2 linked regions of the Oryzias latipes genome follow. The protein of the gene in region 1 interacts with the protein of each later gene in a pairwise test. Links are inferred from orthologs where the notes say so. Each region holds a gene or a part of one and is shown in the gene's direction. Other genes may lie near its edges.

Evidence for each region.
Region 2: the proteins of c6h11orf49 (region 1) and ras-related protein Rab-7L1 interact in a two-hybrid assay, tested with the Homo sapiens proteins (2 studies listed by BioGRID and IntAct). The two-hybrid records come from large-scale screens. The link is inferred for Oryzias latipes from reciprocal best matches to the Homo sapiens genes CSTPP1 and RAB29.

Annotation. Positions count from the first base shown.
Region 1 is NC_019864.2:27,044,421-27,054,100, reverse strand, and holds the start of c6h11orf49 (UPF0705 protein C11orf49 homolog), read left to right. Parts: upstream 1-4,153; 5' UTR 4,154-4,336; coding exon 4,337-4,379; intron 4,380-4,477; coding exon 4,478-4,580; intron 4,581-5,822; coding exon 5,823-5,953; intron 5,954-6,064; coding exon 6,065-6,149; intron 6,150-7,823; coding exon 7,824-7,909; intron 7,910-8,197; coding exon 8,198-8,405; intron 8,406-8,477; coding exon 8,478-8,587; intron 8,588-9,365; coding exon 9,366-9,429; intron 9,430-9,604; coding exon 9,605-9,680. UniProt on the Homo sapiens protein: Regulator of the tubulin polyglutamylase complex (TPGC) that controls cytoskeletal organization, nuclear shape, and cilium disassembly by balancing microtubule and actin assembly.
Region 2 is NC_019865.2:28,345,767-28,355,434, forward strand, and holds ras-related protein Rab-7L1, read left to right. Parts: upstream 1-3,482; 5' UTR 3,483-3,600; coding exon 3,601-3,718; intron 3,719-4,367; coding exon 4,368-4,439; intron 4,440-4,516; coding exon 4,517-4,698; intron 4,699-5,849; coding exon 5,850-5,971; intron 5,972-7,476; coding exon 7,477-7,597; 3' UTR 7,598-7,964; downstream 7,965-9,668. UniProt on the Homo sapiens protein: The small GTPases Rab are key regulators in vesicle trafficking. Essential for maintaining the integrity of the endosome-trans-Golgi network structure.

The DNA of each region.
Region 1 (9,680 bases):
GGCCGCGCAGAAAAAATAAGATAACTTACACGACTTCCGTTTTATTTGTTTCGGAATCTGAAAGATTTTTTATTTTGAAAAATTGCCCGATTCTTTGTTACATCCGTCTATGTTACTCTTGACGCAGGCCAATTCGCTCGTCTCAGTCAGGAGATAGGATACTGCTAAAATAAAACCCAGGAACTGGCAAAATGAATAAAAAACAAACGTCTTTGGAAAGTTTCTTTGCCAAGTGGAAAAGGCCCAACCAGGAGACAGAAGAGGAGCCTTCGACTTCCAAAAAATACATTTAATAGACAGCATCAGGAGTCCTACTTAAAATACGGTTTTATCCCAACGGGAGATTCCCTTGAACCATTCAGCATTGTGGTGATTTGGATTTTCCATGCACTTATTTTAAAGGCATGTTTAAATGTTATAATAATAGCGATCAGGGAGTGTGGCGGGCAGAGAGGACGTTGCTCATGTCATAATTATTGTTTATTGTTATGTTTAGAAAATACCAGTTTTCATGAAAGTCATATTATTTTGTTGTACTGTAGTGTCGGTCACGTGCACGTTTGGTCTGCTGTCGGAGTTCCGCAGGGGTTACTGTAGGAGCTTGCATCGCAGGGAATTAAATGAATCCCCTAGGCCTGCTTTGGTCAAAATAGGGTTGAGCACGGGTGTTTCTTTTTGCCTACGGGTCCCTTCATCTGGCAGTTACGTTGTTTCACCCTTAGTTAATTCTTCCTGTTGTGTTTACTTCTTTTTAGCACCACGAGTGTGGGAAGGGGAGAGGATGATGACACCTGTGCGATGTACAATGTTTAGCGTGTCAAAATAAAAGTGCATGCTTGCCATTTTTGTTGCACCGGTAATGTAAGGGTGGGGTTGTAAAGGGCTGTGAGCTACCGGCAGAGCAACAGAGGGATGTCAGGAAGCAGGGGCGAGCTTACTCCATGCAAACAGTCCAATCCACAACTTGGAGGCAAATTTCTAATGAACAACTGCTGCTCTGCAGAATCCACGTCCAAAAAAAAAAAAAAAAATGACAGGTTTTTTTTTATTTTGGCTTTAAAAAAAAAACAGAATAGTCATAATAACAACGACCCCTGGGAACAATTTTAAAATAGATCAAAAGATGGTTAAAGTGGGACTTTAAAATGTTAATTATAATTTCGATCACATTCATGCAACCCAATTTTTATTGAATTAAAATTCTAGAATTTAAATGGGGGGGGGGGTAGGCCATTCATGTTAATGATCCTCACAAAACTTACTGTTTGCTCCTCATTTTATCTATACATTATGTCACAGAAACACTGCATTTGCTGAAAAAGGACAAAAGCAGGACAAGCTTCAACACCAATGGGACTTGCAGGGAACCGGCCATTTTTCCAGGTTAAAAAGCAGCAGAAGCCTATAAAGAGCTGATGTTTGTGTCAATAATTGAAACACCAATACTTTTGGGCAGGAACTTCCACTTACCAAATCTCCAACTATTACTGAAACAGCAACATCAATTAAAAGGGCATTCCTATTATGGTTCAGTTTATTAGTGACTAATAATGTGGTACGGCAAGGGGGAAAAACTAGATATAAACACCAGATAAGGTCAAGATCTTCACACGGTTCTGTAGAACATAATATCATCATGACAGTCTATGCAGCCTTTATTTTGATAAGTACAGATGTCAGGCACGAGCGCCAGAGATCCATCCAGCATCCATCCAACCTCACAGAGAAACAACGCGATATCATCATCGTTGCATTTTAGTCTCCACCAAGACAATGGTCGTCTTCGTGCAACCAGCAACTAGTCAAACCCCCCACAAAAAGCCAGTCAAGGAATGTGTCCCTAAAAATCAACAACCTGATATATAGGAGTGGTCAGCATCTTAAACTAGCAATCGTTACCAGTCAAAAACGAGCGCCATTAACCTCAGCAAACACAGTGGCTACTGGCTAAGGTAAGGTAGCCTCCTAAAATTGATAAAACCTCCCAGGGTTAAATTTTTAACAGTCTTTATAAACTGTACGTGCATTTTCCAAGAAACGTAAGATTAAAGTCCAATTCTGCTGAACTAACGATGCTCCATCGCTCTCTGTAGCCGCCGTTAGTTGCTTAGGAACAGGGCTACGGGCTAACCGTTCACCCCTGCCACCAGACAGGCCTAACAACGCAGTTCTCGCCGACAGACCAACAACACACACAGCACCACGATACGGCTCCTAAATGTAATTCGACATTTGGTTAGCGCCCCAAAATAAACTAAAATCAACGACATACCTGTGTGCGCCTCCTGGGGACTATAAGATGATGGCAACTCAGTAAAATGACAGACAATGAGATCACCACAGAGCTCGGTCGAGTTTTATACAAGCAGTTTGCGGATGTTAGCAACTTTCCACTTCCTGTACAAATTAAAAGAGTCCCCTTTACTGAGCCTCCTTCCATAAAGCATTTCGGCAAATTTCAAATTGGTATGATATGTATTTAGAGACACTTGACAGTAGAAAATACAAAAATATAAAATTACTCAAATAGTTCCAATTATAAGCGAAGGTTTGATTGACTAATTTTCGTTCTAAAATCAACTTCCGGCCCTCCGTTGCAAACACACATCAAACTTGACTATTCTTTTTAAATTACAAGGGTGGAGAGACAGAGGAAGGCGGAGACTCGGGACACCACCCTAAGTACATCAAACCTCGAAACTTATACATTCAAACAAAAGCACGAAGTGCAAACAAAGACTTTTAAACATCGGATCAATACCTTTTAGTTAACATTTGACGCGTGTACATTTGGTCCAACTGGCTTCCTTGAGTGTTTAGTGACGATGCAGCTGATTGGTTGAATTTGAAATAGGGACAACCCCCAATATTGATAGCCCTATGCTGATTGGACAAAAATAAGATAACACCCAATGGATAAAAACTGTTTGAACATTAAATCCGCCCAGATTTCTGTCAGTTTGTGTGCTATTGGATAATTTCATACGTTCCTTTCACACACATGTCTTTCCTATTGGCTGTGGGTAAACAAACCAATTTGAAAAAAACACATTTTTTTTACTCTACCATATACATTTTCCGCATATAAACATTATTTCAGACCCATATAACACTCCCAAATGGAAATCACAATATGTCTTATGCTGAAATAAATCTTTATTTTAAAAAAACTGGATGAGTGAAGGCATATTTATATAGGTTTAACTTACATGATGGGAGACAATATACCAACATTATAAAAACCATTCTCCAATCTTTCCTTCAAATCAATCACACTAATTCAACAATTTTAAATTCCCTCTCTGTTAGGTCTCATAGGTCCATCTATGATTATCATGAACATCATTACCAACAATTATCCAGTGAAAGTTTTACATCACCTTTTAAAAAAGTGGTGTTTTGGATGGTTCACATGTTATACTATGACTATGTGTGAGGGAGCCTAAATTAGACTATAATGTCAATTTCTCTCATTTTCTCCAGTCAATTTTCTTCAAACCTGTAGAGATGATCACGAACAACATTACCAACAATAATCCAGTGAAAATTTTGCGTCAGCTTAAATGAAGCAACTTAGAAAGAGTTGCCATGACCAGATGTGCCCTTTTACGTGGAGTTTCTTCATTGCTGTTTGATTCCATTCCATGTCATGCTCAACAACCCACAAAACACTCTTGTCAGTGTTAAATCTCACTTTTAGAATCTGTCTGATTGATTATATTTCAGACAAAACACGTTATTTCCGGTAGTTTATTGTGGAATGAACAGACATGCAATCCAAATGAATACATTTGTACATCAAATAACAATATAGGGCTTGCAATAGCTCTCGTTTATTTCAGAGCACAGTACATGTTATTTGATAATGGGTTCCTGTGACATGGGTGATATTAGCGCTTTATATCGTCTTTTCAGCTCGCTGGGCGTGTGTACCGTAAACTATGATGTGACTGACAGACTCTGCAGTCTGAAGTGGGACTAATGACTGTGTCTGTTTTTATCCAGATTTGTGTTAGTTTATGTTTCGTTGTTGTTTGGTCCCTCAATTATATCAATATTGTTGATTGATTCGTTCATTTCTGTAGTTATTGCTTCTAAAAGCGATTTTTCATTTGTAATGTTAGGGGGAACCTTTGTTGCGCGCTCGAGGGGGACTCGAATTAATGTAGCTCACAACATCCGCCTTTTCCCTTGCACGGACCATCCCGTCAGACAAGACGATGTTAGGTCCATGGAGCCGATATTTACTAAACAGATTCGATAAACGGAGTTCGGGTTCGTGTTCTTCGGGGTTGTTTAGGACGATCTGAGCAGGTTTTCCGACTGAACAAACAAAATGAGCCGCCTAAGCGCCGCCGTTCCGGTAGAGGAGTATCTCGGTAAGTTAGTGCTGGTTGTAGGTACCCTCTCTTCTGGATCTCGGTTCGGTCCAGTTCTGGTTTCTTCATATTTACGTGTCTGTTTTTTCTTTCTCAAGCGGAAAGTCACGTCCTTTTCTACCTGGGTGATGCCGTAAACCAGCTGCTGGAACACAAAGAGGAGTACACCCAGTTCGGACTGATCCGATACTTCGCCGAATAGTACGTGACGCAGGTTGTTCACAGCGATTCACACCAAGAGTGGAACGGACTGGCTGTCCAAACCCGGTCCAGTTAGTCCAGATTAAAGTTTTAATAAGACAATACTCAACTGTGAATGTTTTCTCAAAGGAAGACATTTTGAGTATTTTGTAGGAGCATCATTTACTGGAATTGAATGTCTCCTTTCAGTAGACAGTAGATGCTCACTTGGCTGTAGTTTCAACACACGTTTTATAAATATATTTATAGTTAAAATTTGTGTTTTGTCACAAATGACAGTATTAGACTCATAGACTCATGTTAAAATACTTTAATATTTAGACCTGACCGAAATGCTCTGGAACCAAAGAATAGGAGTAAACAATTGTCTACAAGGACGAATAAAGCTACTCCAATGACAATTGTGTTTCTTACACATTCTTGTGACATTTCTCTGATGATGGAGTTCATTTATAAAGAGAGCTAATTATATTATTTCTGAATGATTCTTTATTCAAATAATTGCAAGTCAGGAGCAGAATCAAAAATGCTGTTGGAAAAAGCTTGTAAGTGTGATGTACGGCTGGCCACAAGTTCCCTGCTCCGCTCCATTCTGATGCATCCACTTTCAGACAAAAAGATTCACGTACGTCTTGGTTCTCCTCGTCTGAGCTGGCATCTGGCTCCAAACTGAATGGCTGGGTAGCTACAATACTGCTCATGTTGTTGCACCAGTAATGTCAGGTTGGGGGTGTGAGGGGTTGTAAGCTAGAAAGGAGGGATTGTAAAGAAATGATGGGAAATGAGGGAAGGCTTACTCTGCGCCACAAGTCTTGACCACAACTCCTGACCACAGCTCATAGGCAAATTTCGAATGAACTGCCGCTATACAGAAATTACACGTTTTAGGGTTTTGCCTAAAGCGGCATAATCATGATTAAAAGACCACTGGGAACACTTTTAGATTAGATCAAAAGACGATTAGAGTGGGAGTTTAACTGTGACTAAAGTCTAAGTTCCTTTTTCTGACATACAGACCTGTTAACTGACAAGGAGCAGCACGTTTCTGTGACTCCAGTTTCTTTGTAATTGACTGAAAAGTGTGAGATTAAAAGGTTTAGAGAGACAGATGAGGCAGTGGATTAAACATAAACATATAACTAGTTAAAATCCCAATATTGGTCAATATAAAAACACAAGAAAAAATTAGGGATCAAGACACACAGAGACCTTCACCTGTGGATTTGTTATGTGTGATTGTAGTTTCAGCAGCGTGAAGAACAGCAACCATGTCCTCTTCAGGGAGTTTAACTACATCCGAGCCACTCCTCACAACAAGGCCTCCTTTATTCGAGTTTTCTGGAGATGCTTCAGACAAATTGGCAAGAGTGGAGGTGACTGATCCATCATTACTTCTGTCTGATTTTGTGTGTTTGAGTTTCGAAGGATGTGATCTGCTTCACCTTCTGGGTTACAATTAAACATGTGGTGGTGATTTTTTGCAGAGCTGTTATCTGTGCAGGACTACAGGTCCCTGCTGCAGTTACTGTGTCCCGACTTCTCAATGGAGGTGGTGCAGAGCGCAGCCAGGTGAGGGCAGAAACATTTAGTAAGTGGTTGATGGTTTCAGGTGGAAACCAGAAACACGTAAACAGCATTTGAGGAAAACCAGATCTGGAAAATTTGATGGAGTATTAGGGCTACCATAAAATAATTATGTTATGAGATGAATTTTAGTAGAATAAAGTTGTGCAATTATTAGAAAGAAGTCAATATTTTATAGCAAAATTTTAAAAATTTAAATCAAAAACTCACAATTAAAAAAGGAAAAAATAAAATTTTCTTCCAAAAATAAAGTTGTAATTTCATCAAAATAAAGTAGTTCACTCACAAATAAAGTTTAATTAAGATTCTTTAGCAGTTTGATTTCTCTGAATTGTCTGAAACATAAATTAAAAAGGTCATGTTTGGTTGTCTTTGAAACTGTTACATCCCTGTCTAGGGGCTTGTAAAAGGATGTAACATAAAAGTAAAAGGAACAAATTAAATATCCCAACAACTAAAAAAACTCTCACAAACAAAACCAGGCTCAAAATAAGCTGGGAATTTATTTACAGAAAAACTCAAACTACACAAAAATAACCTAAAAACAAGGACCAAAGCCTCTAACAATAGCAAATAAAGTAAAGCTCTGCTGCTGCCAGCTTGGTTGATGTGGCAGTATTTGAACACTGAGGTGGACGCCTCAGCTCCAATCTCCGGACAAATGTAGTACAAAGACTGAATCTCCCACTGCAGCAGAAAACAAAAGAAAACAGAGACAGAAAATACTGCAAAGTACAAAAAACAATATTACAGCCATAACAGAAAAATTTTAAAAGTAAATATAACTTTTTATTTTTTAAATGAAAAACCAGACTTTTTACTTGTAAAATTATGACTTTTAGGAGCATACATTTATGACTTTATGACTAGTAAAATGACTTTTTCTCATAAATTCAAGACTTTTATGTTCATGGAATATTGACTATTTTCAAACAATTTTACAACTTTCCTCTATTATATTTATTCATTTTATGATGGCCCTAATGCTGCATTCATCCATTTTATGAAATAAAGTGCTTAATATTTTTTCTTTACCTTCACGCTAATATTTTTATTTTTGTTTTTAAAAAAAGCTTAAATGTTATGTGACTAATCCCTGTTTGACCCTTTTTTTCTTTCTCAGTCAAAGTATGAGCATGTTATTTAAAAAGTATCAAATGTTTGAATCCGCGCCCTCATTTATACCAGGTCTCCCCTGAATGGCTGTCTTGACTAAAGAAAAAAAACTACAACAAAATATTCTCAGCTGTTTTCTGTATTAATCTTTCTCTTTGTATTCTTACCCCCTACAAGTTACTGGTAAAAGAGAATAAAGTGTTTTTTTTCCTGTTTTTTCTCATTACCAGCTAAAGATTGGTTTAACACCTCACAGTGTTTGGAACCAGCAGGTTAAGGGAAGAAGTTCTTTCGTACAACGTGTTTTAAAAAGAGCTCCTTTCCAAATATGTTGCTTTAAGCAGAATTGTTATCATTCCACGGGCAGCGACAGAGAAAATATTACTCAACCGTTCCTGAACAGCTTTGTTTCCAAACATCTACACTGAAACGTGTTAGAAGAGCTTGTTATGATCAGGAGACACAGATTTTAGTGGACCGCAGGCTCTCTCCTGTCACAACGGATCCCCAGCGTTTATGAGTGTTCTTCTTTTTGTTCTGCAGAATTGTTCTGATGGACGACGCCACAGATTGTCTGATGTCATTCTCTGACTTCATTTATGCCTTCCAGCTGCAGTTTTACTACCAAGGTGAGGCATCCAGTTAGGCAAAACTCCTAAATGGAAAGAATGCAATGATTTGTTTGTCCCTTAAATGTTTTTTTAAAGTTAAAACATAGGGAAAAAATGCATTTTTGAAAGTGAGCCATTTCTTGAAATATTCTTTTCCTGAGGAATTTGATGGCAGCCCCTGTTTCAGTTGTGACAGCCTGATGTCTTTACACTTGCTCCCTCTGAGAAAAGCAGCTTTTGTTTAGGACTGTTGTCCTGATTGGGTTGTTTTTGTTCTATTCCTTGTTGCGGTCTCTGTGTCTACAGAATTCTTGGAGAGCGTTTTGGTGATCTACCAGGATCTGCTCGCAGGGAAGAGTCCCAACACCGTGTTCGTCCCCACCTCGGCCTTAGTGGAGCAGCTGCCCTCTGTGGTTGTGGAGGAGAACGATAAGGAGGAGCCGCAGCGAGATGGGGTGGAGGCGTGCCTGCTGGCCGATTGTGTGGATGCTCTCTGCGACAGGTTCAAGCACAGGTAAACTGCTCAGAGCAGAATCAGGTCTGTGGCAATGACTCCACATCAATGCTCCGTGTTTCTGCTCTCCAGCCATCCTTCCAGGGCGTGTGTGAGGGAAATCCTGGATCAGACCGACAAGGTTTCTTACTACAGCTTCCTCATGAGTCTGGCTAAGCATGAGGCCATCAATCAAAGCATCGGTAGGTTCAGTTATGTTATAGGGAAACTAGCATGTACAGACCCACTCTGATCATCTTTTGATCTATTTCCAAACCGTTTCCATGGGTCTTTGAATTATGATTATGCCATTTTTAGCCAAAATCAAAACTTGTGTTGTGTTCTAGGACATAATTTCTGCAGAGCAGCAGAAGTTCTGTAGAAATTCCCCTTATAGTTGTGGGCGGGACAATTGGGTGCAGAGAAACCCCACCCCCCTTCCCTTTCCCGGAGCAACTTCAGGCTGCGTTCGGGTTTCCACGTTGTCTGTTATTTTATGATCACTTAAACCTCATTGGGCATTATCCATTACTTAATTGAGGATATTTCTTACAGTGAAAGTGATCTAGGAAACTATTTGTGGACTTTGTTTCTTTGAAACAGATTTTGTTTCCTCATCTAGACAAAAACAAGTGCTAAGAGGTGAACTTTCCCTCTGAAATAATGCTTTGTATCACTTAACATAACTTGTAGCCTATATAGCACTTTCCTCCGCTGCTGCGGTTGGTGCAGACTCAGTAGCCGTTACCATGACAACACATCAGACTGCATATCAAACAGTTTGCTTTTTGTGAAAAACAGTTTAAACAATAAAAATAGTGAGATGGAAGTACTAATAATTATTTATCTCTTAAGGGACCATGGCATGAGTGGGGTAGTCCTCCACAAAGTTTCTATTATCAAAAATGAATGGCCTTTGCATAAGAAACAGTCCAACGTCTCTTTTTTTACGTTAAAGCTTCAATCCTCTCATTCATGCAGGAGCATTGCCCAGCAGGGCGGAGCTTTTCTTTGACCCAGAGATGGACCAGGAACTGGACAAACTGTAAGAGCACATGCATCCAAACAAAAACCATGTCAAAAAAGATGATGAAGAGCTGGCAGCTGATCAGATGAAGCATCTATCTGTCTTAAAGTTCAAAGCATGCTTTACCAAAAGATGCTGTGTTAGCTGAGAACCACGCACATCAACTCTGGTCTGTGGTGTTGTCGCTCCGCAGGATTGCTCAGATCTCTGTGAGTCCTGGCAGCAACAGCAGCGGCAGTGCTGTGGGAGGGCTGAAGGAGGTGCAGAGG
Region 2 (9,668 bases), on another chromosome or scaffold:
AAACTTAACATGAATACGTTATTCAGTAACAGAAACAAAGAAACAGTTGTGGATTTTCCTTTATGGGCTTCTTCATGCAGTCAATCAAATGTTGCGCTTACATTCAGCATTTACTCAGCGTACCTGTCAGTCACATTTATTAGAGGAAAAAATGCATCTGGGAAAGTCTGTTTGTGCTTAACAACTATATCAAAAAGAGTCATGTCAGGAAAGGTTTGTCCACATTGCTGCTCAGCATCACATCCAGAGGAAGATGCACAGGTAAGGGACGCCAGTTCCTGCTCGTACATGCTTGCAGCTTCCTCTGCACTGGACTCCAGCTCCACTGAAATCCCTGACAGAGATAAATTAATAAATTAAAAATCCCTGACAGAAAAACATCAGCTACCGTTCATCTTTCATTCAGGAAAAAGTTGAGTTCATCAAAATGAGGAGAAAATGGGTTAAACCAGAAATTCATTAGGGAGGGGTCAAAACACCAAACTCAGAATAAAATACATTATTTCAGTCTTATAAAAAATACATTCTAAAACAATTTGGTATTCCTCCTCTGCCTGAAAGACTAAAACGTTTTTTTTTAAAGATTTATTTTACACTACAGACTTTGCCACCTTTAGTTACACACCTGGACGTGTCTGATGATGTGCACATCCAGTCATTTACTGTCATGTTTCTGTGCACTGACACACTCCAAAGTCACAGATCTTAATAGTGTGAATAAGAAGCATTCATAAATGTTATTCTGAGACACAAACTGCTGCAGTTTACCTGACAGCTTTGCTGATTTATGCTGCTGGTACACCTGTCTGAGAATCCTGCCCACGTGACCCCCCCTCTCCAGCTGATGAGGTAACCTGTCATTAACGTATGACTGAAGGATCTTGGATCTGTCTGTAAACACCCACCTAGAAATCACGTTTAACGCTACATTTATTAGATCAAACAAATGTGCCTCCATACCTTATCAGTGGATGGCGGGACTGCATTTCCTGATGTGCGCCGTCTTTAACACCCGTTTCTTCGCAGCTGCTGCTTCAGACAGAATCCTCTCACGACATTTCGAAACATTTGTAAACCTGGTTGGTGTTGATATTTCTGTGTGCGTTCTGTCATCACATCCGCTAAATATTCAAAGATTAACGTTTATGTTAACGTTTTATCGTCCCTTTCATTGTTTACCTGCAGAACGGACGTCATCCACACAAACTACTTCCGGGTGACCGTTCTGCTTCAGACGAAATATTCAAAAAATAATTTAAACCTTCATTATCTGTTTGCTGCATTTTTGATTTAATATGTAAATGGGAAATACGGGAATTATCATGGTACATTGTTGTTTGGACGATAAAATCCGTCATCGCTTCATTTAAAATACTTTTCAGTTCAAATGATTGACAAACATCATCATCCAATCAGCGTTGTCCCATAGTACCTGCTTCTTCCGGTTTGGAAATGTTTTTCATTTTTGAAGATTTCGTTTTGTTTTCTGGAAATTCATTCTGTGTTCTGAAATGTTTTTCATTTTTTAATATTTCATTTTTTTTCTGAAATGTTTTTCATTTTTTAATATTTCATTTTGTTTTTCTGAAATGTTTTCATTTTTTTTATTTCATTTTGTTTTCTGGAAATTAATTTTTTTTCTGAAATGTTTTCATTTTGTAATATTTCTTTTTTTTGTGGAAATTAATTTTGTTTTCTGAAATCTTTTTTTCTTTTTTATGTTTTGGTTTCTGAAATTTTGTTTTGTTTTCTAAAATGTAATACGCTTTTTAAATTGTTGCTGTGATCTTAAAAATGTTTTTGTATCGAGTGATTTGTTGAATGGTTTGCACTTCAGGGCCACCGTAGTAAATTGATGACAGACAATATAAAAAATAGACTCAACCTTGTGTTAGGGGTTGTGGCTTGTTATAAATCAATCACGTTTTTGAGGTGAATTTGTTGGTTACGGTTACCATAGCAACCATGTCAGTGGATGTTTTCATGTGTTGCTGCAATTTGTGTTTCTTCTTTCCGTTTTGTGTACGTGACAATAGACCTTTTAAAGTAAGAAATGCGGGCTGCTCGTGAATTCAGATGTCACACAACCTTTTCTGACATAACAGTGGAACGCTGCCTGAAATTACTTGAAACCTTTGGTCATGAATAATTACAAGAACACAGGTAACTAACCCTGGAGTGAATCAAACCTGATGAAATGTCAGTGTCCTCTTAGCTGCGGTCCTGGCTGGTGATGTGTTTTTTCCCTATCACACACTTCCATCCAAAAAGGTCTAAACTACTCCGGTAGAATATTTATGATACAAGATCATTTGGAAAATCATTATAAACGTGCTTAGACCAGAAGTTATTTTTAAATCCTGAACATTTTTATCTGCTGCAAGAAAAGTGGCCAAGTCACGATAAAACAAACAGGAAAAAACGCAGAGAAGAGAGTCATGTACATGACTCAGCATGCGACTGAAACATGTCCAGCAGTCGATGACAGTGGCCTAGTTTACAAACCTAGTGGACAAACCTCATGGTTTAGTCTGCATGGTTTCTTTGTTTCCGTTTCATTTTTGTGGGGAAAGATTTATTATTAATTATAACCAAATGGAACACATCTTATAAATTGTAACTCATGCTGTCTTCCTATGTGTAATATGTAGGACTACTTACATTCCCTAAAACAAAACAACTGATTGAAAAAAAATAGGGATTAAAAAAGGGATTCAGCAGGTAACGAAAATGGATGGATGGAAATTAACATAAAAGTGTCTGTCACTAGGCTAGAAATGGGTTTATCTTTGCCTTAAAACTTGAATTTTAAAATGAGATTTGATAGGAAATGACTTCCCTGTGACACCAGCCCCCAGTGGTTTGCATTTAATTTGAGATTGGGAAGTGGACGCTTTATTCTACTGCATTCAAAAAGTGTTGTCTGTGTTCTTTTAAAGATCAGAACCAACACGTACGCTGGCATCATAAACCATTGAAAAAGAAACTATTACATCCCCTTTATTCACCTTCTAAACCTGGTTTAAACATCCAAAAGGTAGCTTGACCATGTTCAGATGTCTAAGTGCACCAAGTTCCTCCAATGGAACCCATCCGGGGTTCTGACAACCAAAACCCCGGATGTCAGAGTGACAGACAGAGTGGAGAGACGGAAACTACGGCCATTTGTACTATTTTCAGTTTTTTCAAAAGCTTTGTGTAACCCTTGTGCCATCCTAGGCACTTTAACATTGGGAGTTGGGTCATCTAGACCCACTAGACAGTGCGCTGAACCTTTTTTCTTCAATGATTTGTCAACCTCACTGCTGTCCATGGATTACATGAAATCTTTCCACCTTTATCCACCTTTGTCATGGTAGGGAGAACACGTCAATGCAAGGGTGAGGTCATCTAAGATAGCACAAGGGTTAAAGTCTCTGTTTGAGTTCTGTAAAAGATCCTCATTTTCTTCTTTTATATTGTCTCGTACTCTTGCAGTTAAATGCTGAAATAAAACATTGCATGTTTGCCTCATAAAGCAGATTTCCGGTTTGAACTTTGAGCTGCTGGGAACTTCACGACTAACTTGATCATGATCATGTGACAGAGAGAAGACGAACGATGACAGAGCACCTGCTGAAAATACTGATTGTTGGTGATGGAAATGTTGGAAAATCTTCCTTTGTAAACCGTTACATCAGTGGAAATTTCAACAGAACATACAAGATGACTGTAGGAGGTACGTTCATATCTTCTAGAACTATACATATGTGCTCTTGTTACTTTATACTGGTATTCACAAGAGAGGAAGCTCTACTTCCAGGTCAAATTGTCAGAATAATAAATCCGCTGTGCAATCTACCTTTATTTAAATATATATTTGTATATATATTTGTCTTGTTTAGTCAGAACATATTGTGTGTAGCAGTTTTTTTATTTCCTTGAATAAAATAAAATACTCCAGTTTACCTAAAATATGCGTAGAAAGGTGTGTTTTCTTTGTCCACACTGTAAGACGAGCGCTGTCAGGCTTTTTAAGCTGACTGGCTGGTTTCACCTTGAGTCACTGACTTCTTTTATGACTCAAACACAGCCACCTGTGTGGTTCAGGTTGAGATCAGCGCCCACTGTGGTCAACATGCAGGTTGTGGTCACATGGGTACTGACAGTATTTGTGTAAAGCTGACAGGGAGCAGAGACTACAGACGGCTTTAGGCATGTTTATGCAGTAGCTGTAATCCGTAACAGAGGCTAAACGCTGGTTCATAATCAACTAGAGGCCAGACGTTATGTGTCACACTCACTAAAGGATGGCTGCAGTGGAAGGAAAAAACACTTTTTTCCCTTCATTGTGTTCTCTGTTTGTGTTTTTTCAAACACACTTCTAGTGGATTTTGCTGTTAAACTGCTGCACTGGTCCGATGAAGAAAAAGTCAGGCTGCAACTTTGGGACATAGCAGGTACAAAGTGATTTCCAAACCAACCTTTGCTGTTATTGGTTATGGATGCAACAGTGAACTGTGTGTCCTCCTTTCAGGCCAAGAACGCTTCATATCCATGACCAGAATCTATTATAAAGGTGCAGTGGGCTGCATTGTGATGTTTGACATCAGCAGCTCATCCAGTTTCCTAAGCTGTCGCCTCTGGAAACAGGACCTGGACCACAAGGCCATGCTGCCGAACGGAGACACAATCCCCTGTCTCCTGCTGGCCAACAAGGTCATTCAGTCATAATACTTCATGATACATCAGTATAATGAACAGGCTGCTACACAACCAATACACATGTGACTGCAGCTGATTGCTGATGGGCTTCACATGGAAGGTTTTTAAAATTCTAAATGGCTCCAAAAAAAGGTTCTTGTTTCGTTACGGCAGCTGTATAAGTCAAGACACCCGCCGTCACTCGGTTGACGACAATTGAAAGAGCACAGTCAATGAGACTGAAATAGACCTACTTATCACTGAAAAACAAAAGGGAGTTGGAACAGTGACAAATGGAATAGAGGTCTTGTTTAAAAAACTGGAGAGAAACAATCTGAGATCATGTGTAGAAAAAAAAGTCTAGGCATGTCTGTGCAAAAACAAAAGTGTGTATTTTTATTATTTGAAACAAAGGTTTTTGCAGCAGCAGATGTTTTTGTTTCAGCATGTTATTGTAGTGTTTGTATTTACTGTGTATAATCATATGGAGAATCGAACTGACTGAGTGAGTGTGATGTCACCCATGAACTACTCTCGCCAATCAGGAGTGAGCTTGTTGGAAGGCCACACCCCTACCACTTGAAAGTAAGCTCTGGATATGAGACCACATACTTTTATTGAGGCATCTGATGGCAAGTTTATAACTTGAAAAACTTGCAGTACAGAAGAAAACAAATATTGTGAATTAAAATTAGCATTATCAACAACATGTTAAAAAGGCTAGAGTAAGAATGGTTATTCAAACAAATTGAATGATATTCAGAGTAATAGCTGTTTTTTTCTCTATAGAAGACTGCGGGATTTTTAGCTACTTCCAACCAGCAGGAAATTTCCTGTTTGGAACACAAGGGAAGAGGGGTCACTCAGTCCAGTTCTCATATACAGTCAATGGTGTAAACCTAACCTGACAAACCATGACTGTATTATCAGTTTACCAGAACATGAGCGGATCTGTTTTTCCTTTCACCAAAAAGAAAAAATTGGTCTCATGATTGTTTTTGCCAATCTTGTATTGGCACACTTTAAACACAAGAGCAAACCAAAACAAGAGAAGACACGACAGCTTCTGACAGTGATATCAACTTATTAAACATGAATCGCAAAAGGGTCTTGTTGCAGTGAATGCTGAGAGATTCTCTGTAAGTTACTGTCCTTTGCTGCTACAGTGTGACCTGGCTGAGCGGGCCGTGTCGGCAGACACTATTGATCAGTTTAGCGGAGCTAACGGCTTCTTCACCTGGATGGAGGCTTCTGTCAAAGAGAACAAGAATGTCGGAGAAGCCATGAGGTAAAAAAAGAAGACTCAATGTCAATGTAAAGAAATGATTGCAAACCTTTTAGAGAGTCATGACAAAAAAGTATTTAGTCAGCCACCAATTGTTCAGGTTCTCCCACTTAAAAAGTTGAGAGAGGCCTGTAATTTTCATCATGGGTAAACCTCAGCAATGAGAGACAAAATGAGAAAATAAAATACAGATAAATCACTTTGTCTGATTTTCAAAGAATTTATTTGTTTACTATTGTGGAAAATAAGAATTTGATCACCCACAAACAAGCAAGATCTCTGACTCTCATAGACTTGTAACTTCTTCTGTAAGAAGAACCTCTGTCCTCCACTGGTTACCTGTATTAATGGCTCCTGTTTGAACTGCTTATCTTTATAAAAGACATCTGTCCACAACTTCAAACAGTCACACTCCAAACTCCACTAAAGACCAAAGAGCTGTCTAAGGACACCAGAAACCAAATTGTTGACCTGCACCAGGCTGGGAAGACTGGATCTGCAACAAGTAAGCAGATTGATTTGAAGAAATCACCTGTGAGAGCAATTATAAGGAAATGGAAGACATACAAGACCACTGAAAATCTCCCTCCATCTGGGGCAAGTTCTCACCCCGTGGGGTCAAAATTATCTCAAGAACAGTGAGCAACCCCAGAGTTGCATCCAAAGCACACTATACTATAAGGCATTGGGGGTGGAAACATCATGCTTTGGGGCTGCTTTTCATCAAAGGGACCAGGACAACAGGTTTTTTAGTCAAAACCTCCTTCCATCAGCAAGGGCATTGAAGATGAAATGTGGCTGGGTCTTTTAGCATGACAACGATCCCAAACACACTACTCAGGTAACGGTGGCTTCGTGAAAAGTATTTCAAGGTCCTGGAGTGGCCTAGCCACTCTCCAGATCTCAACCCCATAGAAAACCTTTGGAGGGAGTTAAAAGTCCATGTTGCCCAGCAACAGCCCCAAAGCATGACTCCTCTAGAGGAGATCTGCATGGAAGAATGGGCCAAAATACCAGCAAGTTTGTGAAAACCTTGTGAAGTGAGTCTTCACAAGGTTGGCTGCCATTGCCAACAAATGGTATATAACAAAGTATTGAGTTGAACTTTTTTTTATTGACCAAATTCTTATTTTCCACCATAATTTACAAATTAAATGTTTAATTAAATATTAAATTAAATATTCTTTATAAATCAAAGTGATTTATCTGGATTTTTTTCTCATTTTGTCTCTCATAGATGACATTTACCTATGATGAAAATAACAGACCTCTCTCATCTTTTTAAGTGCTAGAACTTGCACAATTAGTGGTTGACTAAATACTTTTTTGCCGCACTGTCTACGTGAAGTTAATCATTTTAGTATTACCTGCAGGGTCTTCTGCAGCAATCTTATGGAAGGATGAGATAGTAATGCTCTTAATGTGACCTCATCATATGTTAGTGAAGTTAAGATTTTAAGAATTTAGATTTAAACCAAAATTTGCTGCAAATCTATTTTTTTCCCCAGGAGGTTAGTCCAGGAGATTTTATCTGTTCATCTGAAGCCCTCACAGCCTCTGCCTGAAGGAAGCGTCTTCCTGCAGCAGGACTCTGAGTTCAACACCGACACTGGCAGAAGCTGCTGCTGACACAACTTGTTCCACAGCTGGACCCCAACAAACACAGCTAATGAATCCTCATTGTGTTGGAAGCGCTGCTTCAAATAGACTCACTGTTATGAGTCTAATTCTGTCTCATGATCAGAGCTACTTTCTATAGGTCAAGGAAACAAGCTGGTAATCAGAGCACATTCACCTTTTTTGGTTGGTTTCTTTGTATGGTTGATGTTTTATTGGATGAATGCCATAAAGCATTCAATCCATTGTTTTCCTGCTTCTCTTTCCATCTTTATTATAGTTTCCTCTACCATTTTTTGGCACTTAACTCCTACAATTTTTCAGCTATTTTAACCATTCATCTATTAAAATGTTCAGCTCTTTCAGCTTCTTCCAGTTATGACATTTGGTTCTTCAAATCCTTGAACTTTTCAAGATATTCCAGGATTTTTGCCTCCACTGAAATACATGGGGAATTCTTGGTGCAGAAGCTCGCTGGTTCGATACCCAGCGCGGGCATTTTTCACAAAAATCTTTTGTTATCATCTTGCTGTTATATTTATGTCCAACTTTGATCGTTTAGTTTTTTGTTGTCAATTATTACCCTTCAAATTTCATTCAGCAATGCAGCAGCCAACCCTGCATTTACTTCTGGAAATGCAGCTCCATAGTTTTTGTTGCATGAATGTCCCTTACACAGAAAATCCTAATAATGTCTTTAGCTGATGAAGACCAATTAAGAATGAAAAGAGACAATGAGAGCTGAGTGGTTTATTTCAAGTAACTGCTAAAACAAAACGTTCAAGTACAACCTGACAGAAATGCAAAAGAGATTGACACTGTTGGAAGCTAATTAACATAAATGTAAGGGATTTATTCTTTAATAAATGGATTCTCTTTTTCAACTGTTATAACCTGTATGTTTTTTGGTTAATAAAAATTAATAAAAATAATGATACTTATACATGTTATTTACTATGTGCTTTTCTCGGAACTCAAGGTCGCCCAACAGGGATAAAAGCACAGATTTTTTTTTAAATGTAAAAAAAAAAAAATGCAATATTATATCAAGATGTAACATGATTTTAATAATAAAAAGGACAGTCTAGTTAAGTACAAAAACGCAATTTAGAAAAAAAAAAAAAAAAAAAAAAAAATCCTGTAGTGTCTCTCTGTTACGGCCCCAACAGGCAAACCTGTCACAGTCTTAGGAAAATCAAAAAGGGGCCAAAACATATGAACAATGGAACAAAAAAGTTTAGGAACAGTTTATTACGAGGAAGAAGTAACCTGTATTCTGTGAAACAAAAGAAAATAGATAATTACTGTGCTGGTCCCAACAAAAGACAAAACAGAGGGATTGGAGCCTTGGCCAAACATAAAATAAGTCAGGGAGACAACTGACCCAGCCACATTGACCGTCGGAGTCAGCAGCTCCCTGCTAAGGCTGCCTAACAGAATCTAACTATTAAAAATAAATAAACAAGGCCCGCAAATAAGGACTACCAAGGTCCAACCCCAAAACAAAATAACAAAACCCAGCAGTATAAGACTGCTGAGGACCAAGAGGGAATCAAAAGAGAAACAACCAACCAGCACAGCTCCAACACAAAACAACTGCTCCTCAGCCTCCTGCCTGCCCTCTCTGCATGTCTTACCTCACTTAAATACCTGGCAGGTGCTGATCAAGACTATTAGCTTCAGCTGCCAGGTGAGCAGAGTGTTGGAATAATGCAGCAGCAGCAGCACATAACACTCTCTATGAACTGTTTGCTGTTATTTTAATCTTTTACCGGAACTTTTATCACGTTCTTTTCTGAAAGATCCAAAGACAGACAACTGGAGAGAAAAAAATTACTAAGTTAACTATAATGTGACTTTAAAAAACCAAAACAACCAAACTTTACAAGATGCTAAATTAAAAACAAACCAAAGAGCAATAAAAATGTGTAAAGACAGAAATCTGTGTGAATGGCAATGGCTTTGACACACCAGATGATAACTGACTGTGAGAAAGCAGCTGTGACAATTACAAAGAGGAGATGGGGCACACAGGGAAAGAACTCAAAACAGTTTGATAAGAAGCTCGATATGAAAACACAAA